Alligator mississippiensis: one gene and its partners. The main gene of each other region encodes a partner of the protein of the gene in region 3 in a complex. Links are inferred from orthologs where the notes say so. Each region holds a gene or a part of one and is shown on either strand. Other genes may lie near its edges. The genes, in order: CYFIP1, EIF4EBP2, EIF4E and EIF4G1.

Evidence for each region.
Region 1: EIF4E (region 3) and CYFIP1 share a complex: the UniProt entries of both Homo sapiens proteins name them as parts of the CYFIP1-EIF4E-FMR1 complex. The link is inferred for Alligator mississippiensis from reciprocal best matches to the Homo sapiens genes EIF4E and CYFIP1.
Region 2: the proteins of EIF4E (region 3) and EIF4EBP2 are in contact, whole or in part, in a crystal structure (PDB 3AM7), measured with the Homo sapiens proteins. The link is inferred for Alligator mississippiensis from reciprocal best matches to the Homo sapiens genes EIF4E and EIF4EBP2. Residues at the interface, in NP_001959.1 of Homo sapiens: His37, Pro38, Leu39, Gln40, Val69, Trp73, Tyr76, Asn77, Leu131, Glu132, Leu135, Ile138, Gly139, Glu140, Ser141, Asp143, Asp144, Ser146, Asp147, Arg186; in NP_004087.1 of Homo sapiens: Pro47, Thr50, Arg51, Ile52, Ile53, Tyr54, Arg56, Phe58, Leu59, Leu60, Arg62, Arg63, Asn64.
Region 4: the proteins of EIF4E (region 3) and EIF4G1 are in contact, whole or in part, in a crystal structure (PDB 5T46), measured with the Homo sapiens proteins. The link is inferred for Alligator mississippiensis from reciprocal best matches to the Homo sapiens genes EIF4E and EIF4G1. Residues at the interface, in NP_001959.1 of Homo sapiens: Pro31, Tyr34, Lys36, His37, Pro38, Leu39, Gln40, Phe47, Lys49, Arg61, Leu62, Ile63, Ser64, Val69, Glu70, Trp73, Ala74, Leu75, Tyr76, Asn77, His78, Ile79, Gln80, Leu85, Tyr91, Glu132, Leu135, Ile138, Gly139, Glu140; in NP_937884.2 of Homo sapiens: Glu608, Lys609, Lys610, Arg611, Tyr612, Arg614, Phe616, Leu617, Leu618, Phe620, Gln621, Phe622, Ile623, Phe624, Ala625, Ser626, Met627, Gln628, Lys629, Pro630, Leu633, Pro634, Ile636, Asp638, Val639, Val640, Leu641.

Annotation. Positions count from the first base shown.
Region 1 is NC_081824.1:338,765,771-338,773,369, reverse strand, and holds the start of CYFIP1 (cytoplasmic FMR1-interacting protein 1), read right to left. Parts: upstream 3,007-7,599; 5' UTR 2,885-3,006; intron 1-2,884. UniProt on the Homo sapiens protein: Component of the CYFIP1-EIF4E-FMR1 complex which binds to the mRNA cap and mediates translational repression. In the CYFIP1-EIF4E-FMR1 complex this subunit is an adapter between EIF4E and FMR1.
Region 2 is NC_081829.1:58,774,682-58,782,202, forward strand, and holds the start of EIF4EBP2 (eukaryotic translation initiation factor 4E-binding protein 2), read right to left. Parts: upstream 3,005-7,521; 5' UTR 2,793-3,004; coding exon 2,654-2,792; intron 1-2,653.
Region 3 is NC_081825.1:160,612,207-160,619,097, forward strand, and holds the start of EIF4E (eukaryotic translation initiation factor 4E), read right to left. Parts: upstream 3,013-6,891; 5' UTR 2,937-3,012; coding exon 2,919-2,936; intron 1-2,918. UniProt on the Homo sapiens protein: Acts in the cytoplasm to initiate and regulate protein synthesis and is required in the nucleus for export of a subset of mRNAs from the nucleus to the cytoplasm which promotes processes such as RNA capping, processing and splicing.
Region 4 is NC_081830.1:83,637,384-83,644,899, forward strand, and holds the start of EIF4G1 (eukaryotic translation initiation factor 4 gamma 1), read right to left. Parts: upstream 3,006-7,516; 5' UTR 2,900-3,005; intron 1,158-2,899; 5' UTR 1,097-1,157; intron 1-1,096. Other genes in the region: PSMD2 (26S proteasome non-ATPase regulatory subunit 2), read right to left, coding at 4,472-4,654, 4,851-4,969, 5,149-5,275, 5,371-5,465, 5,882-6,050, 6,334-6,417, 6,750-6,895, 7,001-7,102.

The DNA of each region.
Region 1 (7,599 bases), on a different chromosome or scaffold from region 3:
CTAAATTAGCATGCAGATAACTTTAAAAAAAATCTCTCTGGTTGCATCTTTTCCTTTGCTCTCACTTTACTTCTTGTTAGCTCAGTGGCTGGCCCTGGTGGAACCCAATACCGGAGGGGGCACACATACCATTCAGCTGTATGTACAACATAGACACATACCGCCACTCCACTTCTAAGCATAGTTTACAGCATCCAGACATCTTTAAAATACTGAGCTTCCTGAAGAGAGAAACTCGTCTACTATACTTTCTACTTACGTACAGATATGTATACTTATATACTTATGTACAGATACCTGGAAAAGCAGTGATAAGATCCAAATAGTACATACAAAAACTTATGAATGATTTCTGCAGTGGTTGTAATGATTCTATAACGTATGTTAGAGAAAACACTTTTTAATAAGTCAAGGTAAAAATTACTACTAAAATCAACTACATTTTTGACAGCTGTAAACAGCTGTAAACTCTGGAGTTACAAGTAAAACCAGTCCTACAACCTGAATAAACCCAAGAGTTATATCCAGGATATGCACCGTGAAATATGGTAATCTTGTTATAAGTCAAGGTTTGAAGCTCAATTTTTTGATGGTCTTAGTTATTTCAATACATTTCTCAATATCTAGTACCCTAAATTTAAAAAATTGCAATGTATTTTGTATTTTCAGACAACAGAGGAATTCATGAAGTCCCATTCCTTTACAGGAATTTCATTAGCCCTTTGTTCTTTAAATAAGTAAGCCTGAGAAAGTCTCCACTTTATACCAAGTCTTTGATCTTTAAGTCTGCAGCACGCAAAACATAAGATTTCTCTCATTTGACAGGAAAAAAGGAAAAAAAGTTAGCCTGTCTCCCCTTCCCCGCCATTCTAAAATTTGATTTTAAGTTGTTCCCACTTTCTGTCACTTACAGGAACAGTCTATTTAAAACAGCTGAACTGCATAAGCAAATGACATGAAGCAACACTTGAAAAAAAACACAAAAAAACAACAAAGCCATGTAGAAGAGGCCAGCCGAAACATTATATGTAGATCCCAACACAGTTTTTGAAAAGGGATGAAACTGGGGCTAATCATGCAGGTTCACAAAACAATATAAATCACAGCTATTCAATCTAAGTACAACAGATTGTGAATATGAAAATACTGACCAGAAAGCAGGAAGCTTCAGCAGGGTATATTATTCTACCTTCCAGTTTCAAAAGTACACAAACTCACAATGATGCAGGCATCAACATTCACTAGACCTCATTTCAATTCTAGAAAGTTGCAGCACGTGCAGTGCAATACCTGTGATGGTGACGAGACCCTCCAGTCAGCAACTACAAGTCTTATGATTCTAGAGGAATTTCAAAGCTTCTAACAATGTATTTTTTTACATCCCTGTTAAGGAACTTCCCTTCTGGACAACCAATCCAGTCACCACTCAAAACCAGCTTGCGGGATGTCACAAATACTGATCTGCTTGCAGTGTGTGATTTGCTCTTCAAACCCACTACAAAGCTTACAAACCAAAACAGCTGGGGAATTGTATTAGAAAACATCAGCTGTGTAAATTTAAGCCTTCTGTTTGCAGTTGGGAAGGGCCTTCTAAACAGCCAGATATCCATTTGCCTTCAGAAAGTCCTGCCAAGGCAGTAGGATGAAACACCACCAGGTCACCAGGATGTCTACTGGAAGCTGATATCTTCCTTTCTATCCTGCCCTGCTCCTCACAGACAATACTAGTGGAGCTGGAAAGGAACCAGTTTCCTTCAAACTGTTGTTCCAAGGGTGCTTTCTTTTGCCACAGCCACGGGCCTCCCCTTTGCAACAGCAAGTCCAACCCAAGCCTCACAGTTGGGGGGGGGGGGGGAACGGGTGTCAATTCTCCTCCGCATTTGAGAGGCACTGACAACCTGGAACAGGCAACTTAGAGAAACAGTGGGATCTTCATCCTTAGAAACTGTCCAAGAGCAGATGGGCCAGCCCTTGGCTGGCATGGTTTAATCAGGACAATCCTGCCTGGAGCACAAGGCTGGACTAGATCAGTGTTTCTCCAACTGTGGGTCACAACCCTGGCTTTTTCCTTGTAGTCTGGCAGAGTTCCAGCCTGCAAGGGGCTGCTTGGGGGCCCCTGTGCTCCACACACACCTAACCCCACCCCACACACTGTGGGTGGTGGGCAGTGGGTCAGAAGTGAGAGGCACTGGACCAGGACAAGCCATCAATGTTTGCAAATGGGTCCTGGTCCAAAAAAGAGTAAGAAGCACTGGAGTAGAGGACCCCTGCATATGGGTGACTGATGCCTCCTGAGTCTGGGGGGGGTAGGGGGGGGCCAGCAGGGCACAGCCAGCCATACAATGACCCAGCAGCCAGTCACCAAACATGCTAGCGGAGCCAATTTGGGGAGGGGGGGGGCACTAGCACTCTCCATGCCCCCCTACCAGCCAGAGCGCTGTCAGGGGGGCACCAGCGCTCTCAGGCCTCCACCCCCACATATCCCCTATGCCTCTGGAGATCCCTCGCCTCTGGAAGTCTCTTCCAGCCTTACTTCCCTATGTGCCCCTTGCCAGGCAGGGCATGCGCTCCCTTTGCCCCTGTACCATATGTGGGGCTCAGAAACGCAGGAGACCTTGCCTCCAAGCAGCCAAACGCAGGCGCTGAGGGCCGCCTAGGCCAAGCCCCTGCCAGTCAGGAGGTGCCCAGGCTTTAGCCTGCCCAGGTCCGGCACCTCCCTCCCCTCAGCCGGAACCCCCGCGGCTTCTTGCGCGCAGGGGAAGCCCCGGGCCCGAAGCCCGCGGGCAGCACGTCACAAGGGGGCTGGAGGAGAGGCAGGAGCCCCCGGCCGCCCCCCGGCCCGCGGGAGCAGCGAGGGGCAGGCGAGGCGCTGCCCGGTGCTCACCCGTCCGCGGCAGCGCGGGGTGCAGCCGCCGCCCTGGGGATCGCCGCCGCTGCGCTGGGCCGGGAGTTTCCTGCCTGAGTCACTGGAGCTGGGAGCTGCGCAGGGAAACACCCTTCCTGCGGCTCCGGCCCCGCCTCCCTTCCCCGGCAGGAGCTGGGGGGTGGCCCCGGCAGCGCGGGCCCGGCCCCCTCGGCTCCAGCTTCCTACGCTCAAACCGGCCCCCAGCCGGCCCTGCTGTCTCCAAGCGTGCCGCAGGGGGCGGCGGCTGCGGCTGAGCACGGGCCAGGCCGGGCGGGCTGACCCACCGGGGGTCTAGGGGCTGCACGTGGGGAGGGGCATGGCCACGCCTGCCGCAACACCCACCTTGCAGCAAGGGAGGGCTAGGTCCCAGTAGGGTGGCCATCATAGGGCACAGTCCGGTTGTCCTTTATTGATACAAAACCGGACGCCTTTATGTCCTCTATTTTTCTCATCAAGACCTCTGGATATGGGCGGCTTGTGCCTCTTGAGTCTAGGGGACACCAGCGGGGTGTGACCGGGGGTAGGGTCCCCCAGCGGCCACCGGGGCAGGGGGGGACCCAGCCTCCAGTCACCAAGTGCACTGGCACAACCAGTTTCAGGGGGAGCACTAGCGCTCTCTGTGCACTCTCCATTGCTCCAAAAGAAAAATAGAGGACATAAAGGCATCCAGTTTCATATCAATAGAGGACAGAGTAGCAGAAAACCAGAACATCCTCAGTGGTGGCCACCCTAGGTTCAAGATAAGGAAAAACCTCCCTCCAGAGGAGGGTAGAAAAGCACTGAAACAGGTGACCCAAAGAGGTGGTGGACTCTCCAGACTTGGAGGCTTTTAAGACCTTAGTAGACAAAGCCTTGGTTGAGATGATCTAGTTGGGGACAGCCCTGCTTTGAGCAGAAGGTCGGACTAGATCTGCATTTCTCAACCTGTGGGTTGTGACCCAAAAGTGGGCTGCAAGAAAATACTAAAGGGTCATGAACAAACTTTAAAAAGGGATCAACAAACTAAAAAATTGTTCTTCTTTTTAGGGGAAAAATGTGGGAAACCATGGTTTTTCCCTTGCAGGCTGGCAGAGCTCCAGCCAGCCGTCCCTACACACTGGGGACGGGGGGGCGGGGAGCAGCAGGTCAGGAGTGAGGGCCACTGTGTCGGGACTGGCCACTAATGTTTACAAATGAGTCCTGGTACAAAAAAGGTTGAGAACCACTGGACTAGAGGACCTCTTGAGGTCCCTTCCCACCCTCATTTTCTATGTTTCTGTGTTTCTCCAGCTGTACTCAGAGGCTGGGGCAGGTCAAGGGGGCAGCCAGGGGGTATTTACCACCGGTCCTGTTTTTCCCCTACACAAGATGCTTAATGTGCAGGAGACTCATTCTACTGCACATTAGCACAGCAGACACAACCTGTACCACTGCACAGTAGATTTAATCTAATGCTCATTAATGTCACTAAAGAACCAGTCATCTCTGCTACTGTGCATTAGCACTGAATATGGCACATTAAGTTGGTATCTGTCATCACAGATACTAAACTTAATGCACTGTAATTATGGTGCATTCATGAATTTGTAAATGCTCCCAGTTAAAAAGAAACTAGAAGCTTCACTGTTCGGCCAGGGCAGGTCCAGGGGGTAGCTAGATGAATGAGCTATGAAGCCAATTGATTCCCTGCCTAGAAATGCTGCTGCTACTAACAGGCAACTAACTGGTTTAAAACTTTGAGTGGAGTAGGAATCAAAGTAGGATCCACCCCAACTATGTCTATCACAACAACCATGTTTTTCCAGTTAGATACAAACTAGAAGCTCAACTGACAAGCTGGGACACATCCAGGGAGAAGATAGAGTGATCTGGCTGGGATGATCTAGTTGGGGATGGTGCTGCTTTGACCTTCTGAGGTCCCTTCCAACCCTCATTTTCTATGATTCTAGGGGTGTCTACTACTAACACCTCCTTTTCCCCAATTAAAAGAAGCTAGAAGACTTGCTAATCGGCTGGGTGCCTGGAGCTGTGTTGTGCAGTTTCAGATGGAAGCAAAAACAAAGATAAGTTCCTTGGAAAGAGTTAAAAACAGTCTGCAGGGCTGTGAAATAAGAGCTTCCTAACCAGCTAACAGACAGCAGAGTTGCTGAAGAAAGGCTAACGTGCTTGGTGGAACAGGCAGACCCTTGAAAAGAAGAGAGGCAGGTTAACACCTGTGGAATACAGAATTTGGAAGGGGTCAGGTAGATGGATAATGAGGCATGAAGTCAAGTGACTCTGACAGCGCTGCCTAACTAGAAATGCTGCTGCCACTGCCAGGCAGTTGGTTTTAAACTTTGGGTGGAGCAGAAATCAAAGGGGTATGCAAGTGTGTCAGTGCAACCCCCTACATGCCCCTGCCCCAGATTTCTATGTGACATCTCTGGGTTTGTGATTCATGAGTAAGTGCTTGCACAGCAAACAGTGCTAATATTAAGCAGCACCCCTCAGCACCCTTAATTTAGGAGTCACGAGATCATCTTAACAATCAGCAGCTTTCAGCTCTGGGATAAAATCTGGGGAGGTAGGGACAGCCATTCCTCCTGGTGGTGCATGTTTTTGTATCAAATTGTATACCTAAAAATGGTACCAGGTGTCCTATTCCCCACCACCCCTTGACACTAAGTTTGCCTAAATCTTCACAGCACTCATGGCAGCAGGTCCCAGTGCTGCAGACTTGCATACCTTTTCAGCTGTACACATATTGAGTGTTTCCCGTTTAATCGGGCTGTGCAGGTGCACAAAGTTAAGCACAAAGGTAATGCTCCATCCTGCAGAAACTGAAGTCAGACCCTCAGGACAGTGCAGGGAGCAAGCCAATGTTGGTAGATCCACTTCTTTACCTGTAGTGTAAGCCTCCGTGTGAATTTTTCTGACACTTTGAAGCAAGTAGTTTCTCACTCCACCACATAGGGTTTTTCACATTTATGTTAACAGACTTGATGCTTATATTTACATGTATAACACTCACTTTGCATTTTCATTCTTCCAGAAAACTTCTTATTTTGTAAAAAGATGAGTCAACTTGCCCAGAATGTGTGGAGTGTTCAGGAGTCAGCCCAATGTGCTGCAGTGATCCCATTTATTTCTACAGGCCTCTTTCTACATGTAAAATTGAGCACATGGTCAGCACCTTCAGGCACAGAACAGGAGTGCCTTTCTCACTTCATGGAATTGAGGAGAGGGGTCATGTTGATGAGGAACAGAGATCTCAACTGTTCGGCCATGGGATAAGAACTGTACCTTCTTCGCAGCATGGAAAGTGTGTAGTACACCAGGGGCAGAAATAAAGCTAAATTGTTTCAGAAATCACACACACACACACACACACACAAATGTATATATCTATTCTGTCTGAAATAATAATACAATATTACATACTGGCCCTCAAAATGCTTAGCCCGGGAATTACCAATACTTTCCTCATTCAACATTCCCATTCTTTCCTTGCCCAAGTTAATTTTCTCTCTCCATACTCTAATACACAAATAATACAGTAAGACATTTCCATTGATGCACTTATTTCTGTTTCCAAGGACTTGTTCTCAGTAGAGAAATGGGAAGTACTAATGGCTGTGTTGTCAAAGAGACTTATGTATTTCAATTAATCATAGGCTTAAGGGCTTTGCTCACTTAGTGTATGAAGCAGAATCTCCAATCCCATCTTATTTTTCTAACATGTATAAAAGTTAATACCACGTGCTCTTGCTATTTCCAGCAGATTACAATTCATAACTGAACTGAAGTGGTTACTTTTTACTACACTGGAAAAGATAAATTGTAGCTTGGCAAAGGGAAGCAAGAGGGCTAGAAAGGGAATCCTTTTCAGGTATAAAGTTCCAAAAAATGGAAAAAAGTAGAGAAGGAAAAATACAGATAACTGATCAGAGACTCAAGTCTGACATACTCATTCAGGGAGCTCAAAATAGTGGCAATAATTAAAACAAAAGGAAGTAATTTTGAAAAAACAGATTAGTATATTAAACACACCATAAAACTAACTTAATGAAACTTAGGTAGCAAACTGTCTTGATTGGGGTGAATAAAATGTGGGTTAGCTCTGTAGCCATTACTGCCACAATGATCTTCAATTACATAATTTCAAATTTATTTTCTAGAACACCTATTTGGTTATTTTGTCTCAGACTTAAAATGACTCTTTGGGATCCAGAGCTGACTTACACTGTAGTGTAGAAATATATTTGTTATGATCTAATAAAGGAGCTCTCTCTATTATCTTTAATCTTATCTTGGATGTATGATCTGGATAAGCGCTGCTCATTTTCTGAATTTTAAAATATTGAATGTGGAACCAAATGGGGCACAACAGGCATCTCTGTGCAGTAGCCTCTCTCTCAGTGTCCATTTTCCTTTGTTTTCTCCTTTGTTGATCACACTTCCTCCAATTTCTCGAGCCCTCTGTCACTTGGCACCTCCATTTCTCCTGCCTTCCATTTTTGTTTGGAGTCCCCTAAGATTATATCTTATTCCTTTCATCTCCATCACATTTTATACCCGAGTGACTTCATTTACTTGTCTTCAATGACCATCTTTCTGCTGCTCTCTTTTTTCCATTCTGACTTCTTCCCGTGTTGTCTTGAAGTTGTCATTTAAACTGAGCATAATACAGAACTCCTCTCTTCGTTACCTCCTTGATCTCCACTGCCAGTTGGTTT
Region 2 (7,521 bases), on a different chromosome or scaffold from region 3:
GGGATTGGACTGTCCTGGCCTGAACACTTGGAAAGAAGCATCTTGCTTTTGTCTGCGTGCAGTACATTAGCTCAGGCTAGCTCTGTAAGTCTTTCATTTCCTCTGTGGTACATTTATCCATTAATTTGAAACAATAAAAGTCACAAATGGGTACCTATCACTGCTTTACGGGCACATGCTTCCTTTTCATAACCTTTCTACTCAACCACTGCTTTTAAACATGGCCATAAGAAGTATTAGGAATGGGTGGGAGGTGGTGGGGAAAAAAAGATGATAATACCTTCCAGTGTAGGTGGCAAGAAAAAGAAACAACCCCCCCCCCATATTAGACTTGTGTCCAATGTTCTAGGATCTAAACCTGTAAAGCATTAATGAAATATTTACATTTCTATTACTACTTCTTTTACAGGTTTCCAACTCCATATCAGCAACTCCCAGTCAGTAAACCACCCTCTAAACTGCTAGAGCTACTACAGCCCAGAGGCATTATAACATGGGTTTGTCAGAGAGGAGCAGGGGGAGCGGGAGGGGGTCACTCTTAATACTTTTCTATTCTGTAAGGTTATAAGATCTGAAACACTTTAGGTTTGAAGAGGGTTGTTTCTGAGGTCCAGCCCTTTGTTTCTCCCTCATTCTACCTACATTTCATGCATTTCTCCTCAGCCCTGACTTTATTTTCATCATTCTTGTTCCTATCATTTCTACACGTCTCTCCCCTGAACTTCTTTAGTTAACACACCTTTTCCTTGTTGAAGGATTCAGTTGCACATATTAACTGCTACCATTTCCCCAGCATGACCCTCACAGGCTGAACTTTGCTTCCACTTCAACCCCATCAAGATACAAGCCTGAAAAAAGCCAAATCAACAATTCCAGACTCATGTACTCTGTTGGGTAAAAGCTGCATGTCAGAGTAGCAAAAGAAAGTTGCAAATGATAATTCTGCAAAGATTGGCAATGGGGGGCAGGGGAAACACTCTCATCACCTCTCTGCATGTTAAGTTCCACAGGTTCAAACAGCCCCTTACTGTTTGTTAAAAGTTTACAGCAATCTGTTCAAACCACCAATGATAAGCTGCCACCTACCACCACATAAAAACCATAACAAACTCAACATCTCACTTAATAGCATTCCCTGGAGTTAAAAGAATAGATACTACAGAAAAAGTAAAAAGTGTCCTACATGAGAAAAAGGGGACATGATGGAGAACAGACAGTATTATACACAGCCTGTAAAATTCATGCACACCACTCAATCTGTAGCTGCATAACATTCTCAAAGAAGGAACACTTGCACTTCTTTTAGACCTCTATTAATATGCAAGCATAGCTGACCAAATGAAGAGGCAACAGTAAGATGAGCTGTTAATAACTTATACACTCGCAGAAAGATACCTACCAAAACCCACTACAGTAAAAACCCAGTTAGGCACAAGAGGAACACTGGTATGAGATTAAAATGATGGGGAATGCCTGTAATTAACGCAACTACAGTTTATCATATCCAAACTATGGTCATTCAACAATTCTGATCTACCTCATTGACAACAATGAAAACAGAACAATATCCAGTTTCAGTGGCATAGAAAACAAGCACAAGTCTCAGGAGACTTGGGGAAAATTACATACAAAAGCTGCAGGTTTATGACCTGGAATATTTTTATTTTGGTCCTGATTAATCTCAAGGAAGATTAAGATCTTCTAGGAACCTTTGCCTACTTTCTTGCCCTGTAGCTTTACCAAGGATCTAGGCCACAAACTAGGGTGCTATTTTTAAAGTGACATTGAAAAGTACTGTAAAATGCCTACTTAGTTATTTAATAGCAAAAACGTCTTTGCTGCCCAAAGCATGTATGCAAATGCCATCCTGGGGACCCCCAAAGAAACGCAGCTAATATTTAGCTCAGGAATCCCATGTACACGTCAGCCTCTATTAAAGTCACATAACATGGCATGGATTTTACCAGGAAAGGAACTACTGTATTTTGTGATTTGGCCTCATCTTTGGTGGTAGGGACCGGCCAAGCTTTCAAATACAAATATGATCTCTGGTACACCTACATCTTAGCTCTTATGGACCCCTTCTGCCAATAAAAGCAGAGAGAAAACCTGTGCCTGACAATAAAGCTAGAGGGGCCTAGTTTGCCAAGAACCGCCTAAGGGGAGGCCGCTGGGCTGCACGGTAAACAACTGGGCTGCACAATCTACATCCGTGTTAGGCTGCAAAGTTAGTACTTCCTTGCACCCAGCCCTCCACGCTCCTCTGCACGTCTCCGGCGGGAAGGGCCGAGGGCAGCCTCCTCCGACCCCAGAGCAGGCCCCAGGGCCGCCCGCATTCCCGGCCCGTTCGCGTTTCTCTCCCTACTGCAGCTGCTGGGAGACCCCCCTGCTCCCCCCGGCCTGTTGGGCAACAGTCCCGGCTCGTCGCAGCCTCCGCGGCCTTGTTTACAAATATCTGCCTGCCCGTCCCGCACCAGAGCGGGGCAGGAGGGCTGGGCCCCGGCCTCTCCAACAGGGCAACACCCAACGTGCCCGCGGCGGCCGGGCCTCCCCAGCTGCGGGGGAAGGCGCGGGGCCCCGGGCCGGGCCGGGAGCCCGCGGCACTTCCCCGCCGCGCCCTGCCCTGCTCGCGCTCGGGGCCGGCACGCGTTACCTCCGGGCGTGGTGGAGAAGAGCGTGCCCCCGGGCGTGGTGCAGTAGTCGTGAGGTAGCTGCGCGGAGTCGCTGATGGGCACCGTCCGCGTGGGGATGGCGCGGCTCTGGCTGTGCTGGTGGGCGCCGGAGGAAGACATCGCCCTGCTCTATTGTCCCGGCTGCCGGGGGGAGGCGGGCGGGGCGGGGCGGGGCGGCGCGGGGACGTGGAGGAGGTGGTGCGGGCGGCGGTGCCGGCCTCGCTGCGGGACCAGGGGGTGGTAGCAGCCTCCGCTCCAGGCCGCTGGCTCGCGCTCCCCCACCTCCTCCGCCACCTTCTCCCGCGGCCTCGGTTAGCAGCAGGAAGCGCGGGGCGGGGCGGGGCGGGGCACGGCACGGCACGGCACTCACTGGGTGGTCCGGCCCGGCCCGCTCCTCCCCACGGGCCCCTGCCTCTGCCTCCTGGAAGCCCCCTCCTCTTATCCCCGCCGACACACAGGAGCAAACGAGGGGCGCGTCGGCCCGCCACGTGGCTCGGCCGCGTTGTGCTCGCTCGGGTTGTGTCATGCGGCCGCCACCCGTCCCGGGTCTGCCGCCAGGCCGGGCTCTTCCATGCCCCGAAGCCCCGCCACATCGCCCGCATTGTTGCCCTGGGGCTGTTAATTGCAGCGCTGCGTGGGGGCAGCTGGGGCAGGTTTATCATCAGTAGCACACACACATAAGGCTGGTTGGGCCACTAAAGCGCCTCGGGACAAGTTACTGGCAAAAAAAAAACCCACCAAACCCTGAACAGGCAGCACTGGTTGGTCGTTGTGAGCCAGTATTAATTTGCAACATCCAGAAGGCAGACGAGGTTGCTGCAGGGGACAGGAAAGACGACTTGCATTACCTGAGAGAGAAGGATCTTTTATTAGACCAACTGCACAGTAGGTAGACAAGTTTTTGAATTTGTGACATTCTTCATTTGTCAAAGGGCATATTGCGTTCAACAGGCTGCCTAATTTTACTACACAGTTGTCCAGTAAGATATTCATCACCCTAAAAAAATCCTTGCCTCAGTGAGCCTCTGCTCCAGCATCTCTCTTACACTTTCCCTATCTGGCCACTCACTGAAATGCAGCCGTGGGAGGCCAGTGCGCATGGTGCTGCAGCCGCGGTGGCTTTGGCTGACCGTGGTGTGGGCAGCCCCCACTGGCCTGATCTCTACCCACTCGGGAGTTAGAGCCCCCTGCTTTAGACCACTAACCAGTATCAGAGTCCAACATCTTAAGGCGAGAGAGGGCCGCAGTAACCATGTAATACTATTGTAGTTGTTTACAGTGATGCAGTTCACTTTGTTTTTCCCATAGTAACAGGCTAGAAATATTTTTTTAATGTATAGTTTTAATTGTGGAAGAGAACAGAGTTGGTAAAAGAAAAACAATGTCAAAATATGCACCAATCATAATTTGATTTGAGGATGTGATCCTGGGTGTGCAAACATCCTGAAAAGGGACAACTAAGTGTGGTACAAATTGCCTATATTAACCTGTGTTTATTCTGACCCCGCTAACGATCAGCCCACAATCACCATTTTCTAATATTTTGCTGCTGCTCAAAGCACACAAGAAAGGAGACGGGTAGCTGTGGAAAGAAGATAAGACTCTTGAGTTAAACCATGTTTTGGCATCATGAATAGACACGTATTAGCTTATAGGTGCAACAAGGGAATGCTGACATCTGTTCCTTTTCCAATCTAATTATTGATTGTAATAAGTAAAGAATGAGTGGCAAAAAATTTGTTATAAGCACAATACCAGTAACATTTTATTGCAAGAGTTGTTTTGACTTTCAGATTACCAGCTCAACACATCCATCATTGACCTTTAAATACTATATTATAAGAGAAAATTCATACTTAATTTAAAAGATATGTTGAATTTAGTACTGGTGAAAAGTAGCAGTCATTTTGACTTCAGGAGGGGTGCAACCTCCAAGGAGAACTCAACCCAGAAACAGTGACTCCACACCCAAGAAAGCAGAGGGCCCACAGAGCAGCAGAAAATCAACTAAATATGGGCTCTTTAGAAATAGAGTTGGGACTGGGAGCATATGCCATACTGTGGGGTTATGTGGCAGGTTTGCAGATGTGGAGGTTGAGGTCCTCTTCTCCATCTACAGGACAGGTACAACATAAGCATTGGCAGAGCAGTCATCTTCCACATAGCCTTGCTATTCCATTTTAGCCCTGATACAGGGGCTTTCTTCTTTCTTAGGGGATGATTGTCTACAATAGGAAATTTTACCAGTGATTTCCCACCCATTTACATCTGCTGTTAGTAGATCCAATGCAGACAGTTCCAGAGGCTTCTAGGCTCCTACCACTGGGTTTTGCAGTTTAATTGACACAGCAGTAGAGACTCTGGAAACTGTTGGGGCTCTCTCCTATGTGGTCCAACTCAGTGTTAAAGCTGACCTGGCACCAAACTGCTAGCAATCGTTTCTAAAGTTCTTGAGCCAGATTCTGGCCTCCCTGAAACAGGACGGCTTGGAGGCAGCTGCAGTGCCCCCTGGTGGTTGAACTAATCCCATCCCCCCCTCCACCCCGATTCCGGCCACATTTTTAGCCTCAAAATACAACATACAAATTACCTGTCTCCTGGAGTCCTTGAGTGAGCTGCTGGGATTTTGTTCTCATATTAGCTCTGTTTAACAGGACACCCCAGTCCTCCTCATGCCAACAGTTTACTGATCAGCACTGCTTATGCTATTGGCACCTGTGTCTCCATGATGCTGGTCATGACTCAACTGGGCCCAATTGCACCTTAAAGGCTCTCTAATCATGGCCTCCAGACACATTACTCCAGATTCATTCATTGTGCCCTCTAGCCTTATTTAGGCTCAGCTTAGCCTGGCAGGCACCTGTACCTAACAAGGCTCTCATTTCCCTGTGTCCATGGCCCTACTTTGACTGAAGCCTGGCAAGAGAGGCTGAAGCACCACTACCTAGCCTTAGCCCTCCTAGCCTTGGCTTAACTTGGCCAACCCTCTAGGCCCCTGAACCCAGGCTAGCCTAGTATTCCTCTATACCAGCCTTCAGCCCTCCAGGTCTCTGACCCCAGACCAAGCTGCTTTTACAACATGTCTTTCCAGGTGCAACCCAAACCTCTGGTTAACTTTAACCACAAAACACAACCATAAACTCACCAACCTCTAACATAATCTGCTCTACTTCAGGTCTCTGCACATTACAAACACCTCTCCACCCCAGCTTTCTATGTTCCCTGAAAGCACAAACTCCTTTTCTTAAGAGAGGACCTAACTCCTGCTCTGGCTCAGGGTTGAACATGCATCTCCCTGGGCTCCACCCAGTTTTGGTCACATGCCACTCCCTTAGCCCAGGTGACTCCATTTAGCTCAATAAACTGCCTCATTTTCTCTGCTGCAGTTTACACAGCTGACCTTCCTAGTCTAATGTTGCTGGCTTAAATTCAGCTGTCCCTACCAGAATGCAGCTCTAGCTTGCTGTTCTTCCCTCTTAAAGTAACAGGGGCCTTGGATCCCTCTTAAACTCCCCCATGCCCTTTACTTACAACAGTGCAAGTTAGCTGGAGGCCTAGTGGATCCAGCTACTCAGAGATTCTTCAGCATAAGAGAATCCCTGAGCAGTAAAGGACTGGCCACAAAAGCCATGCCGGAGAAAGGAGCACAGTCAGAGTGCTTCTGTGTTCCAATGGGTGCCAGCTGCTGGGGTGGCTTCCCTGAAGGCCATTGCAGCCCATGAAACTGACAGTAAGTCAGAGAGTGCTTTTAAATGATGCTCTGGGCTATTTCAGTTTCCAGCAGCCCCTGGGTTAAGGCAACACAAAGGTAGCTTAAAACTCTGGTACAAAGGATGATCTGGGACTGAGTACAGACAAAGTCTTATTCTATACAGACAAATAAGAAAGTCATTTTCTATGCTTAGTTTTTAGCTTTGTTGAGGCTACAAGCTAACTGTAAGAAAGTTTTTTGTGACATGGATACTAATCCACTTGGGAGTGAGGACAACCCATTTCTCACTGAAGAACCAGGAGATGGTTACTATCTTTTAATTCCTCCTGTCTTGGGTGAGATTTTGACAAGCACCACAGACATGAAAGCATCAGTCCCCTACAAGCTTCACATACGATATTTTCTACAGTAAAAGTTTACTTCTCAAGAATGTGGGCCTTACTCTATGTCACATAAAACTGATATACATGCCAAAACCTAAAATGTTCCTTTAGAAATTGGAGAACAGCTAAAGTCTTGCTATACAAATGAGATAGCCTTCAGAGTCTTCTAGGGCAAAAAAATGACTTTCAGAGCTACAATGTGATAACAACTGTAACTGCTTGGCCTAGGCAAACTCATAACTCAATAGCAACAGATCTGAAGACAGAGCAAAACAAATTAACCCCAGGAGACCAGCAGCTAACAACATGAACAGCGGCAGAAGTAATAGTGGCAGCTGCAAGAGCTGCTGCTGCTGTTGGATGCATGGGGATTATACATTTCAAGAAGCTGCTGAAAACATGTACCCAAAGCAAAAATTTTAATGGATGCCTGGGTTTTATTTGTTGGTCCTACTTACCAAATAATACTTTCTTTCTATTGTGAAATGTTGTTATTTTTATCTAATTTTTCTAATGGAATAACAGTCAATTCCATTTTTTATTTTTAATATAGGAGAAGTTAATGAGTGGAAGTTTCAACACTAACTAAACTTTAAGTCTATAGAGCAGTTGTTCAATATGGCATTTCCATAAACCAAAATCTTCCAATGAATGCTGAGTTTAAGTAACATAGGACTGAATTCATGATGCTAGATTAGAAACCTGTGGGCACATAGAGTCTGAATTTAAAGGAAGAGTCCCACAGGAAAATTAC
Region 3 (6,891 bases):
CAGGGGGTCGGACTTGATGATCTATTGAGGTCCCTTCTGACCCTAACATCTATGAATCTATGAAAAGAGATGAAGGCAAATTCCAGCCTTGCAGTGGCAGCTAAGATATACGTCTATATCTATATGTAATTTTTCACTATATTTTTCCATGAACAAAAAAGAAAGAGGCTGTAGATATACCTGGAATTTTAGCAGCTATTTTGGCAAAATACCTAGCACCTTGAATGTTATACCTCAACTTAACTGCTGACCTTTTGAATTAACTTATTACAAGAAGAGTCATTTCAGTCATGAAAGTATCATGGGCCTTGATACTATATATACTTGGTATCTAATTTTATACATGCCTATTCAAAACTAGAAAGAGCTAAACAGACCTCAGCAGTTTCAGCCAAGAGTTCAGTTCAGAAAGTGCAATTAGTTCACTATACCAAAGCAACTGGCATGTACATCAAACAAAAAGTTAAAGAATAATGAGCAGAATGAAACCTATTTACGATTTGGGAGATGGAAGGTCCAAGCTGATTTATATAAAATGTTCATGGTATTCACCTAAAATATTTATTGCATTAGGACAAAAGCCTTTTTTGCCCTTACAATTATTTTCTGGAAGCTATTGTTGAACTCTAAAAAAATAACCAAAACGTGTGAACTTTTCTAATAGAATGTAATAGTCCTTTTCTTATCAGACAAAAGTTCATTCTAAGCTGCAAAACTACTACATTTTAAAAATGCAAGATAACAATATTTGGAAAAATGCAAGATAACAATATTTGGAAATACTGTGTAATTCAGTCGGTGCATGTGTGGAGCCAGGCCCTTTGAACCATCTTTCTATAGATACATGATTAGGTGGCTTAATGGACAACAAAAACCCATGTTAAAAATATTTGAGACTCTGTGAAATATGATTTTACATTGTACCTCATAGGTTTTCAAGACTGGAGAACTGCCTTTAAAAGTATTTTCAAGAAAAAGAAACCAACATTGCTTTAGCATCTAGTTCACCTCTCTTCTGGAGGCCTTATCCCCCTACAGGGCAGTGCACTCTTGTCCCACCCACCATCCATATCCTCCTTACAGAAGTTCTCTTTCTCCAACTCCAGAGAAGTGTGGTGACACATGGCAGCTTCATAAAATGCTTCCATTATAACAGAGGAGAAAACATCAGAACTGCAGAAAAAGGAAGGATTCTATGTACCCAGATTCAAATTCTAAAAGTTTCAATAGCAGACATTCCCCCTCTACCTGCTCAAAAGACCCTTCCCACTTTAATCTGAACCACAGCGAAATACATTTCAATTATGTCTATTATGGCAACACTGTCTGGTCTGGACACTTTATAAACACACGCACAGCTGAGATGTCAGGTGGGCCTAGGAAGTTGGGGAAAAAAGCACGTCAGGAATGAAAGAAGGGAGATTAGAGAGGCAGACCCTTTAACTCAGATAGAAAAAGGTAACCGAGAGCGGTGGATAGTTATTTGGTTCTTTAAATTAAATATGCTTGGTCTCAGTTCAGTCTCCAGTGGCTGTCCAGTCATCATTACAAGCAGTGATGTTGACAGTCACTGCAAAGAACTGAACGAACATAACCTTAGAGGGATGGTGACTCCCAAATTAAACACAGAAGACAGTGACTAGGCTACATGGAGAAAGCCACCTGCACTGTCTGTTGCTCCAGTTTTCCCGGTAAGTGAATTACCTTGTTTTTGAGAGCTGGTAGGCAAACACTGTTTGTATGCACTAAATTTTAACTGTCATCTTTTATCTTCCATTTTAACGATATTTTTGTTCTTAGAGGAATCTGTTGCCTGGAAAAAGGGACACAGGCATACACACAGGTGGACCCCCCCCCAATTATTTCACAGGAGTACAACACAAGATCTTTTCAGTGAAGTCTTAAAATGCTTTTCATCTGCAAAGTCGCTGCCCTTTACTTTTTGTTAAATAAGACAACAAACTGATGACAACCCTTTTAAAAGATTGATTTTATTTGACTTGTAAAAAGCAGTCCATGCCTAACGGCAGGCTCCAGTGTGCATACCCAGCCAGTAAAACAGTGACTCCATGCACCTCTCCCAGGCTCCCCTGCCCAGCCCTGTTCGGCCCAATCCCCCAGCTGCAGCAATGGTATAACTAAGATTCCACTGCATGGCGCACAGACAGCAGCAGCGGCTCCTGGCAGGGAGGGCTGAGAGAATATTTAAATTGGGATTTTGAGATAGAAAAAAGAGCTCAAAGGATAAAAAAGGGGATGGGGGGTTAAACCTTTCCAGACCACGGGGCAGCGCTGCCCGACTTCGCTCCCGCAGGACAAGGTCAGCGCGGCCCCTGCGCTCCTGCTAAGAGGCGGGATCCTGCCTGGCGCTCTCCAGCCCGCACCTCCGCCACGTGCGGCCCGGCGCCAGCGCAGACGGAGCGCACACGGCCTCCCCGGCCCAGCGCGCCAATGCGGCGCAGACTAGAGCAGACGAGGGGGGAGGGGGCGGGCGCCCCCGGCCCCTTCCGGCCCCCCCGTGGGCGGAGACCACCCCCACCCCCCCAGGCGCCGGAAGCACCGCGCCGGCCAGGCCGGGGAAGCGCCCGCGTGGGGCCGCCCCGGCTTCCCCGTGGCCGGGCGGGGCGGCAGGAACCGCCGGGGCCTCCGCTCCCCCCTCCCCACCGGCTCACGCGCCCCCCCCCCTCCCCTCCCCTCCCGCCGGCCCAGCGGTGACGGCACAAGTCCCGCGCGCCGCGCCGACCTCACGCGCTCGGAATCCCCCCGCCCCCCCTCCGCCGCCCCCGCTGGCGCCTCCCGTCCCGCTCCCCTCCCCCACGCCCGGCCCGGCCCGGCCCGACCCCGGGACCTCCCCGCGGCGTGGCCGGGCCCGCGGCAGCGAGGGACCGGGCCCGGCCGGGAGGGAATGAAACACTCACCGGTTCCACCGTCGCCATCTTAGATCGCTGCGCTCGCACCAGCGGCGCGGGGCGGGGCCGGGGGGGGGGGGGGGCGGATGGCAAACCAGGTTCAAACGCAATTGGCCGAAGCGGGGGGTCACGTGAAGCGCGCGGCCGTTTGGGGGCCCGCGGCGCCTACGCGCGGAGGAGGGGGAAGGGGCGCGCGGGGCCTTCTGGGACGTGTAGTCGCCGCCGGGGAAGGGGTGGCCCCTTCACCCACTCCCCCTGCCTGGCGCTGGCGGGACCGAGACAGTCACATGGGCCCGGCGCTCCAGGCGGAGCCTGAGGGGACGCGCCCCCTAGCGGCCGGTCGGGGAGCTGCAGGGGCGCGGGCGGAGCCGCCCCCAGCTGCCCGGCGCCCACTGCCCGGGGGGCGGGGCCGTGCGCGCCTGCTCTCACAATGCGGGACTGGCCCCGCGGGCACGGGTTGCCAGGGGCACCGTAGTCATCGTGTTTGTAGGGTAATTTCAACCCTTGCGATCAATAATGGTAAAAGTGCTCAAAATTTACAAATGCAGAACTCTAGCACATTTACAATATTTTTTGAGGAAGCGAATCGATGCAGCATCTGCAAAACCCAAGTCATTCTCAGGGAGTCTTAACTGACTTTTGGGTTTGGGGTTTTTTGGTTTGTTTATTTATTTATTTTGTATTCCAGTCAAATTAGCCAAATAGTTCTGAATCCTCTTGATTGAGCAAACCTCAATCGCATGTGGTGTTACAACCAGCAAGTATCGTCCACACCCCAGACTTTTCAGCCTGGGGCTTCAGAGACTCCCAGATCTGCTGGTGGGCATCCTGCCTGCAGGCCCCAGCCCCACTGGAGGCTGGCCACTGGGAAGCTAGTTATAAGACCCTTATAGGGTGTCCTGTCCGCAGCGCATTGGACAGGGGTGCAGCCTCCACTACAAAATGTCACTTAACTCCACCTTGGGTTGGGCAGCACACCAACACAGTGACTATAGCTGATCTTAGCCCACATACCAGCATTTTCTTATGACTGCTTGTCTCAGAAAATTAAAAAAAAGCTTTAACTTGGATGAGCCAATTCTCACTCACTGGCAACTCAAAGTGAGTATTATAAAGTAAATAAGAAGAAAACTTGTTTGCATATGTATTTGCATATTTTTTCCATGTATGATAGTTTTTCAGCAAATACATTAATTTTGAGCTTCCAGTATAATAATTTCATAGTTAAGATCTGGCAACGCTGGTACGGCCAGCTGGGCTGGGCTGCCCGTGTGAGATGTGGTGCTGTGGTAGCCTGGCTGCTTGGGGAGATCATAGACCTCCCACAGAAGCTGGGCTGGAAGGGGCCTCCTCAGCTCACTCTGCCCAGCCCCCTACCTGAAGCAGGAGTGTCCCAGTCTGAACTGCCCCACACAAGCTGCAGCCTTGACCACTGTTGACCCTGACACAGCACAAAACACTCAGAACCTACCACAGGTAAAGCAGGGCAACCGCACAGCCAATGTCCTGCCTCCATATCAGGTGGTTAATACACATTCATGGGACCCTGGGTAGCAGGGCATGGCCCCATACAGAGGAAGGCAAACCCTGCCCCCTGATCCCCGTGGGTACCAATCTGGCCAGGGGGTGAAATTTGTTCCTGACCCCAAATACACTGATTGCTCTGAGTATGAGCAGCGGAGCAAGAGCCTCTAGACAGGAACCTCCAGCTTTGGTCTCAACAGAAGCAGTGACACACCCCAAAGTCCCCAGCCTTGGCTGTTGCCAACACCCAATGCCTCTAACGGAAGCATAAAAACACCCTGATACATGTAGCAGAAACAGGGGCTGGGGCAACCAGCAAAGTCCAGAAGCATGGGAAATACCCAGAGTAGAGCATAAGCATAGCTACGCCTAGATCATCCCTGACCAGTGGCTGTCCAACCTCTTGAACACTTCCAGTGATAAGAAGTCCAGACTTCCCTAGGCAGTCTGTTCCACTGCCGCACTGTTCTAACAGTGAAGACATTTTTCTTGATATCCAGTTTAAACCTACTCTGCTGCGACGTCAAGCCGTTAGTCCATGTCCTACTCTCTGCAGCTGGTCCAGGAGATGCCAAGGCATTTTTTGGTGATATTTTTGCTTGGATCGACTGTATGGTTGGGAGGGATGATATCAGGCAAGCTTCTGGGCAATGAAGAGGGGCATGTGGTATCCAGAAGCTCATCAAGCATCTCTCCCAACTATGCAATTGATCTAAGGAAAGATGGCACCAAAAAACCCTTGCTCTGCCTGTCTGTAGCAGGGTGTAAAATTCAACCTGAGCCTCAGGTCAGATCCAGACCCTGAGGGGTCCTTCCAGGCCAGATCTGCAGGGCCAGCAGTAGCTGCAGTAGGTCCAGTGGTGACGGCAGACGTCCAAGGGCAGTGATACAGGTTGGGTAGTGGTGGAGCAAGTGAGGGCTGTATCTGCATAGCTCTGACTTGCCTCCTTTATCATTGACAGCCATGTCCATTAGTGCCCAGCATAGGCAACTGGTGCCTCCCGAGTCTGGGGGTGCACCAGATCTCCGACTGGGGGGGTGGCCATTTGCCAAGCCCAGAACCACTAGCAGCGAAACTGGAAGCACGCTTCCACCGGCACTTCCAGTTTTGCAGCTGCTGCTTCCAGGGGGTGCATGGCCAATCTCAGGGGATGCATGTGCACCTGCGTGCACCCCCTACGCATTGCCAATAGTGCTCAGTGACTCCTAATTCTGCAGCAGGCTATGCACCACTATTCCCTCCCCCAGCTTCCAGGAGCCCATTGGACTAACAGTGCACTGCATGAAACATATGGCCAGTTATGTTTGACACCCCTTGTCTACAGCATTTCTAAGCGGCTCACCACTATAGCATCTTAACACCAAGCAATGGGATAAATCTCCATTTGCTGCCTTACAGTTTCTCTCCTCTCCTGGATGAGGGAAGATTTGGCTGCCAGTGCCTTAGAGAGATTTGATTTAAAAAATCTCACAGTCTTCCTGCCATTGTGGCCTGTGACACAGCTGCTCTCTCCCATTCTGAAACTCAAGGCTTACAAGTGTCTGTGTAAAAAGTGGTTGAGATAAATTCACCTCCCTCCATATCTCAAAGATGTCTGCATTTTGTGGACCATCCCTCAAGCAGCCCCATGGAGATTCTGGCATTGCTTCTTGGCAGCTGAACTCCTCCCAAAGGGGCATATTTGGGACAGCAGCAACAGGCAGCAGTTTCGTTTTTCTGAGTTCTACTGCTATGAAGCCAGGAAAAGCCCACAAGGAGTGTGGAAAGCAGTCTCAATCCTGGGTTCCCCCTGTACTGACAAGAAGCAAGCTCCTATGGCTGGGAGCCCCAGGCACCTCAGTTTAGGGGCTCCCAGCTCCGGGTGCACCCCACACACCCCTGGAGCTGGAGGATTGCTGCTGCGGTGATCTCCCCACTCCAGGGGTGCAGGAAACCTCCAAGGTCAGAGGTTCACTGCAGGGTAATCCCCCTGCCTGGGGGTATAGGTAACCCCCAGGATCACCAGGATCCTTTGGCCCCTGGTGGTTTCCCATACCCCCAAACCCTAGGGCCCAGGGTGTGGGAAATTCCCAGAAATCTCCAGACCCTGGGGATTGTGGCTGCTGTGATTCCTAGGGCTCAGAGGTTTTATACTGGGCATGGTGTATCCCTGCAGTTGGGAACCCCACCATCTGATGGGGCTCCCAGCTACAGGGAGGTCCTACTGCACCTGCAAATTAAAGCTCAATAGCAACCAGCTATAAAGTTAGTACACACTTTTGAGTTCTAATTTGATTGCTGGTTGGAGCTTTTTATTGTGTGATAGCTACTTCGCACGCGTAGCTGGTTTCCAGGAAACTACACAATTAACCATTTGAGGGGATCTTACACTTAACCTAAATAAAGGGTGGCTGCTACATTCACCAATTTTGACAAAGTTTAACCAGATTTATCACAAAACTATTCCCTAGAAAAAGT
Region 4 (7,516 bases), on a different chromosome or scaffold from region 3:
CTGCTAAGGCCAGGGCCAGAAAGCCTTCGGGCCCCTCCACACGCAGAGTAGGCCTGGCTGCCCAGGCACCCAAACAAACAGGGGCTGCCTGTAACCCGATGCTCTGGCCTCAGCATTCCCAGTGGAGGCAGCCAGGCCCTGGCCAAGCACCCCCAGCCCAGCCCTACACACCCCAGGGAGCCTGGAGGGGACCCAGTGGGCAACATCAGCAGGAGGGATAGGCTCAACTCCTACCCCACAACAGCGTAGGGGATGTGGGCAGGGAAGCTCCCTGCCCCGAAACCCCCCCAGCATTAGAGCCTGGCACCTGCTGCGGGCCAGGGGCTCTGGGAAATGCTGGGTTGGTGCCACCTGCCTGGGGCAGGCAAAGGGCACAGTGGGGGGGGCTGTACAACCACACCAGCCCACGCATCCAACATTGCCCCCCCACCCCACAAGCCTCAGATTGAGCCCCTGAATTCCTTGCAGCCGGGAGGAACGCGGCAGAGGACGGCACGAAGATGCCCAAGCTGTGAGAGCCAGCCAAGCAGCCCACAGGGTCACTGAAAAGAGCCCCTGGCCAAGGACAGCATGCCACCCAGCCAGGTGTTTACACCCCATCACAGCACCTGGGAGCAGGAAGGCGGGGGGGGAAAAGCTGGCTCCTGCCCCTGAGGTGCCCAATGCTGCCCCCCTGCAGAGACACACAGGCATGACCCTGTCCCCAGCCTAAACCTTGGGGCCAAGTCACAGGTGGGATTAACCTCACCCCTGCCCCAACTCCCCAGCCCCTCCCCCACGTGCCTGGGGCAGGGCTCCCTGGCAGGGCGCCTGGTGTGCATGCCCACAGGCTGGCGGGGCGCCCAGCGTGCGTGCCCAGGCCCCAGCCCTCGCCCAGGCAGGCGGACGCAGGGGGTGGGGGGTGCATTCGCTGCTGGTTGCACAAGCCTGCTGCTGGAAGAAGGGACTTTGGAGCCCAGCAGAGATCCTGCCTCTGTAACACCGCTCCCGAGCCCCCTGCCGGCACCCAGACAGCTGTGTCCCCTCCCCCACCAGGCACGCAGATCCCCGACCCACCGCAGCCCCCCCCCATGCCGCGGGGCGAGGCCATACTCACCCCCCCACGGGAAAGACTCGGGCCAGCTGAGCGGGCCTGCAGAGACCGTGCATCCGACTGGCTTCGAAAGACAGAGCGAGGATGGGAGAGAAAGAGGAGAGAAACACCATGAGGCTGCAAAGCCGCCGGCCGGGCCGCGCCGGGGAGGGCCCCGCGCACCTAACATGGGCACAGCCGGGCAGAGCCCCCCGCCCCCCTGGCGGCAGGAGCGCGGTGTCGGATCGGATCGCAGTCTGCTGCAGTGCAGAGGCACCGAGACGGAGACACACACAAGCAGACGGAGCAGCCGGGAGCGCCCGAAACCCCACCCCCGCCCGAGCCATGTGGCCTCCCCGCGCTGCCCCGACCTGTCGGCGAAACTCCACGCATGAGTCACTCCCGCCGGAGAGGAGCAGCCTCGGGCCTGGTGCTCCCTGCTCCCGAGCAGCAAGGCCGGACCTCCCCCACCTGGCCTAGACACTGCCCCTAGCACGGACAGACCCCCGCGGGGCTGCCCCCGAACACCACGGCCCCTGGGGGAGCTGGAGCAGGGCAGAGGGGCTGACGATAGATTTCCCCTTGCGGAAAAGGCAGCAAACGCCCCTGGGGTGGAAAAGGGGGCACCCCCTGGGAGCCCCTGCTCACACTGGTCTGCACCAAGCACTGGGCTGGCAGGACGGGGAGCCTGTGCCAGGGCAGCACCTGGGCTAAAACGATCCAGGAGAGCACCTGCTCCCCGGGGCAGGACCCCAGTCGCCTTCCCGAGCCCGTCTACTGGGGTCCCCACGCAGCGCCCGGCACCTGGGCACACCCCACCAGGCCCGTGCCACGGCGGGCGAGACGAGGCAGCCACAGATGGGTCCCTGGGCACCAGCCCCTCCCCGACCTGCGCTGCTAGGGGCCTGCCAAGCTGCGTCCAGCAGCCAGTGCCGCCTTCTCGGCCCCCGCCAGGCCCTTGCCCTTGGGCCAAGACGGGACGCCGTCAGACGGGCCCACCCGCTGAACAAACACAGAGCGCCAGCTCCCTGCGCCCCACCGCCTCGCCCCACGCCCGGGGCCGGCGGGCACAGCGCCCCCGGCCCGGCACCGCGCGGGGAACGACCCTTCCTCAGCGCCGCAGCTCGACCCCGCACCCACCCCACCGCGGCCACGTGCCGCCTGCCCCCGCCACCCCCGAAAGGGCCCGTGGATGCCCAGAGCCCCCCGCCCGCGGGTGAATCCCACCCGCCACGGACCCCGGTGCGAGCGCCCCCGCTCCCGCGGGTCTGCGCAGGGGAGGAGGGAGCACGACTTGGAGCCGGGGCCGAGGCATCCCACTCGGGCAGCCAGGAAGCCCCCAGCCCGGGACAGCCGGGGAGGCGCCGGGGAAGCGGGGGAGGGGGCACGGGACAGGCCCGGCCTCCGCTCTCACTAGGCCGCGGCGCCACGAGGGAGCTGGGCCCGGCTGTAGGCCTCGGGCTTCCCGGCCCGGCCGCCGGCTCGTACCCGCCCGGGGGGGTTAACCCTTGGCGGGGGGGGACGAACCGCGCGCACGAGGCCGAGGCGGCCGCGGCCTCCAAGGACACGTGTCACTGCCGGCGCCGCCATGGGGCGCGGGCGGGCGGGCGGCGGCGCACGTGGGGCCGGGCCGGGCCGGGCCGCGCACGTGGGGGGGGCGGAGGGGTGGGGCGGGGCGCGGACAATGGGCCCCGCGGGGGGAGGGGGGGCGCGGGCCGGGCCGGGCCGCACGTGGCGAGGGGGGGTGGGGGCGGCCGGGCCGGCAGGGAGTAGAGGAGAGGGGGGCCGGTGCGGCGCGGGGGTGGGGGAGGGGGGCGGCCCCGGTACCTTCCGTCCGGCTCAGTCCGCGCGGCCCGACGCAGCCGCAACGCAGCGCAGCACGACCATTTCCGGACCGCTCGGCGGGCGGCGGCGGCGGGGCGGGGCGGGCGGCGCGGCCGGGCCACGTGGCGGGGGACGGGGTGGCGCCGCCGAAGCCGCGCTGGGGGGAAACCGGCCCTCGTCACGTGACAACCCCACACCCGCCCCGAAATCCCGCCCCTTCCGGGACGTGGCGTCATCGCGTCATGCGCCCCGCTTCCGGCCCGCGCCCACGTGAGTGGCACGTGCGCGACTCCCGCCCCCGCCTGAGCCAGCGGGATGCGCCCAGGGCAGGCCTGTCCCTCAGTCTTCTGCCCCGGAGGCATCTGGGCTGGCGTCCATTGCACTAGGGCTGGTCGGCCCCTCTCCCTCCAGCCCCCGACGGGCAGCGGACCGGGCCTGCAGCTCCTCGCAGGGCCGGGGGCAGCCGCAACAGCACCCGGCGGTGGTCCCACTGCAGCAAGGAGCTGGGTCCTGCTCCCTGCAGGGCAGTGGACGGAGATAGAGAAAGAAGGGTAGGGAGAGGGAGGGGCACGAGCGGCCGCTTCCCACCCCAGAGCTGGCTGCATTTGGGAGCGAGGAACGAGCCCTGCAGCGAAGGCTTAAAGTCATCAGCGCGGCCGGGGCCGATGAGGTGCCGGCGGCACTAAGGGATGTGGACACGCAGGAAGCATCTGCCAGCAAGGCAGCAACCCCTAGGGCGCACGGGAGGGCTGCAGCCCCCACTGCCCTGGGGCTGGGGGCAGCAACTAGAGAGCGAGGCTGGCCCTAGGCCTCACCCTCAGCTCAACTTTGTAGCCCCCACCTTCAGCCAGGTACCAGCGACCCCCCCCCCCCCCCCCAAGCCCTGGCAGCAGCCCCAGCCCCCCTGCAAGGAGGGTTTAGGATCAGCCCAGCAGCCTCTTGTCCCCTTCAGCCTAGTTACTGTGCTCAAGTGAGGAGCCTGGCAAAGCAGAGTAGGCTCAATAGCCGCCACATGGGGCTTGGGACAGGAATGGTCAGTCATCACCACATCGGGGTAAACCGCCCCTGGCAGGCAGCTGCTGCGCAGGGGGAAGGGGCATTCAGGGTGCAAAGAGACATCCTGCATGGGGCACCAGGAGGAGCCCTGAGCCAGCACCTTTCCCTCACAGGTGCCCGATGGCACCAGAGCTAGACAGATGCCCTGGGAATTCAATTCAAGCCAGGCCCCACACTTGGCATCAAATGCTGCTGTCTCCCCAGGCCTCCAGTCCGAGCGTCTTGCTAGGAGGCAGGGGAGCCACTGGGCACGGAGCTACCTCCCAGGTTCTAGTTCCAGCTAGAGCCTGCCAGCCCCCTGCCACAGCCAGCACAGGCCACCCGACCCCAGCTGCCAGGACCCAGGCACCCAGGTCTGCCTCACCCCACCTGGAGGAACCAGCTGGCAGCCTATGTCTCCCATAGATTTATTTGCCTACCAGCTCCTCAGTAACAAACAGCAGCGAGGAGCTGAGCACATGCCCCTGCCCCTCCCCCTCCCCACCCCCCTCCAGCCCCTGCCCCACCCCAGCCCCAGGCTCAGACATCATAGTTGGGGTTCTTGCGCAGGATGACGAAGCCCTCCAGGATGGGCGTCACAGGCATGTGCTCCTCTGTGGCCAGCTCAGCCCGTTCCCCATGTGCCAGCAGCACTGGCGTTGTGTGCGTCTGGAAGCCTGTGATGGTCTTTGGCTTGCCTGCCTGCCCCACGACATCCACAGCCTGTAGAAGGGGGTGAGGGTCAGCATCGAGGACATGGAGGCAGCCACAGATACCCACAACCGAGCTCAAGTCTCCCAGGCCAAGACAGGTGCTGCTAGGGCTGCAGGTAGCCCCATGGCACCAACCTGGAGCCCTCAGCCTCAAGCCATCACCTCTCCAGTCTCAGAACCCAGCAGCTCCCCCACTGCCTTCTTACCTGCCCCACCCTGACCGACACAGGCAGAGGCCGCAATTCCTCATCGAACGTCACCAGCATTCGTGGCTGCATGGCGGCCACCAGCCCATACAGGACATAGTGTGACTTGCCCAAGATGACTGGAGGGAGACAGGGGCATTACAGCCTGCAGGACACAGCCAAAGCCACCCACCCACCTGAGCAGCACAACCCAGCTCATCAAGGGTAAAGAGCAAGGGGCTGAGCCACGCACAACCTTCTGCTGGGTACCCTCCCTCAGACCCAAAAGTGCCCTGTGGGCAAGGACCACCATACTCACTGTTGCGCACATCCAGGAAGGATACAAGCACAGTCAGCAGCCCCGCCACAGCCACCTGGCTCATAAGCTGCCGGTCACTGTGGTATGGACACAGGGTGAGGGTCCCCTTCCCAAGGTGAGTCAGCCCCTGCTCAGCAAAAGGAAGGTGCATTAGGACGGGGCCCCAGGCCAGCACCCTGGGCAGGGCTCTGAGCCCCAAGACACCCAACTCCAGGCACTTACCTGAGCCAGCCGCACCATGAAGAGGTTGTTGGGGTCCTTGGCATGGTACTGGGCCAGCTGTCTCAGCATCGCTGCCAGCCGGGCATTGTTGGTGCCTGCACAGGAACCAGGGGTGAGCAGGAAGCTAGGAACAGGCTGCAAGCCCCAGCCTGGGTACCAGATGCCAGACACATCCCTACCACTTCTCCAACGAGTGATCCGGAATGAGGTCTACCAGGACTCTGGGCTGTGTATCCAGAAGTGAGGGGCCCCAGGGCAGTACAGCTGCATGCACACATGGACAGGCTCAGCTGCCACTCCACCCTGGGCAGGACCCACCCCCAGCAGTGAGATGAGATGGCAGCATCTGCCCAGTGTGACCCAGCTGGCACTGGGGCTCTGCTAATCAGGAACAGATAGGCAAAGGAAGGTTGAAAGAGAGCCCTGCTACTCCAGCATCCAGCTGCTGAGACTACAGTAACCACCCCCCCCATCCCCCCAGTTCCCTCCTGCACAGTGCCAGGGGCCTTACCACTGCCCACCATGCCCATGGCAAAGATGGAGTTGTAGGAGACTTCAGGGTCAGCATCATGTGAGAACTTGCTGAGGGTGTCAAGGATGTTGAGGCGTGGGTTGGAGACGGAGATCAGAGCCAGGGCCAGGGGCACAGCGCGGCGCAGCGTAGGCTCCCCATACCGCAGCTATGTCGGGAGGGATGGAGACGTTAGAGCCTGGTGGCAAGCTGGGCCCTGAATCCCTCACACATGCCAGGGAGTCCCTGTCACAAGACTAGCAGAGTTCTCTGCAGTGCTGGGAGGGGATGTGAGCAGGCAGTGGGCACCCAGGAAACACGAGCAGGCAGTGCCAGGCTGAGGGGTGGCACTCCCTGTCTTCTCCTGCCCCACACCTAGAGCTCCCTGTGAGGTCCATCCCTCCCTCTGCAGTGAAGCCTCCTCCCCTTCCCACATCAGTGCCATCACTCACCAGGTGGCCGAAGGTGCGCAGAGCCATCTCGGCGCCAATCTCTTCCCCCATGGCAATGAGCGCGATGCCCAGCACAGCCACACCCTGTAGAGGGGGCGGACATGCGGGCTGAGCACTGGCCAAGGCATGCACGGACCAGGTCCTAAACCACCCAGCCTGACCAGGCCCAGTAGGCCAACAGCTCTGCCCCTCTCCCCATCCCAGGGTGAAGGCTCTCTCCAGAGCCCTCCCAGGCCAGGCCAAGCCAGGTCTTCATGCCAACAGCTGGCTTAAGCTGCCCCTTGGGGCTGCCCAGCTCAAGGGAACAGAATAGACACCAGCCATGCCCCCCTTGCCTGTGGACAAAGCAGGCAGATTCTGCTGGAAGCCTTTCCCTGGGCAGACAAAGGCCAAAAGCCCTGCATGCCCCGCCTCACCTGGTGGGCCCCCATGTCAGCTGAGCCTTCTTTCTTCTCCTTCTCCTTCTTGTCTTTCTTGTCCTTCTCCTCCTCCTTCTCCTTAGAGTCAAAGTGCTCACTGCAGATGTGGAGCAGCTGCTGCACCTTCAGCACATTGCCTGAGCCTGTAGGTAAGAGAGGCCCATGGGATTGGCCTTATGAGGAGGGGCAGGGTCCTGGAGCCGACCCCCTCTCAACCTCCACCACTGCTGGGCAGGGCTGGGACTCACCAGCATACGCACAGATGTCCACCAGGGTGTTGGCAAAGCTACGGAAGGGCTCCGACACCACCTCCAGCGCCGCCAGGATAGCCTCGATTGCCTCCCCCTTCCCTGCGGGGCAGCAGCAAGGCCTGTGAGAGCAGCCAGGCCCAAGGGTACAGACTCTGCAGGTGCCAGGAGCTGGTGCCTAGCTGGAGGCCCTCAGAAGGGCACCTGAGCTCGCCTTGAGGGACCTCTCTAACCTTAGGCAGCCTGTAGCAAGCCAGAGCACCCCACACCCCCAACCTTGTCCTATCCTTGTCACCTGCCTGGGTACTACTCCCCTTAACATCTGCTCAGCTCCCCCAGTGCTGCCCCCTCATAACCCCAATCACACGGGCCTTTGCAACCGCAGGGGATTATGGGGTATAGCAGAGCAAAACCATCATTCAGGCCACAAACCAACAGGTATGGCATGTGTAACTTAAAAGCTCCTGCTCTGTAAACCCCAGCATGTTGGGAGGACCTGCAGAGCAGCCACACCAG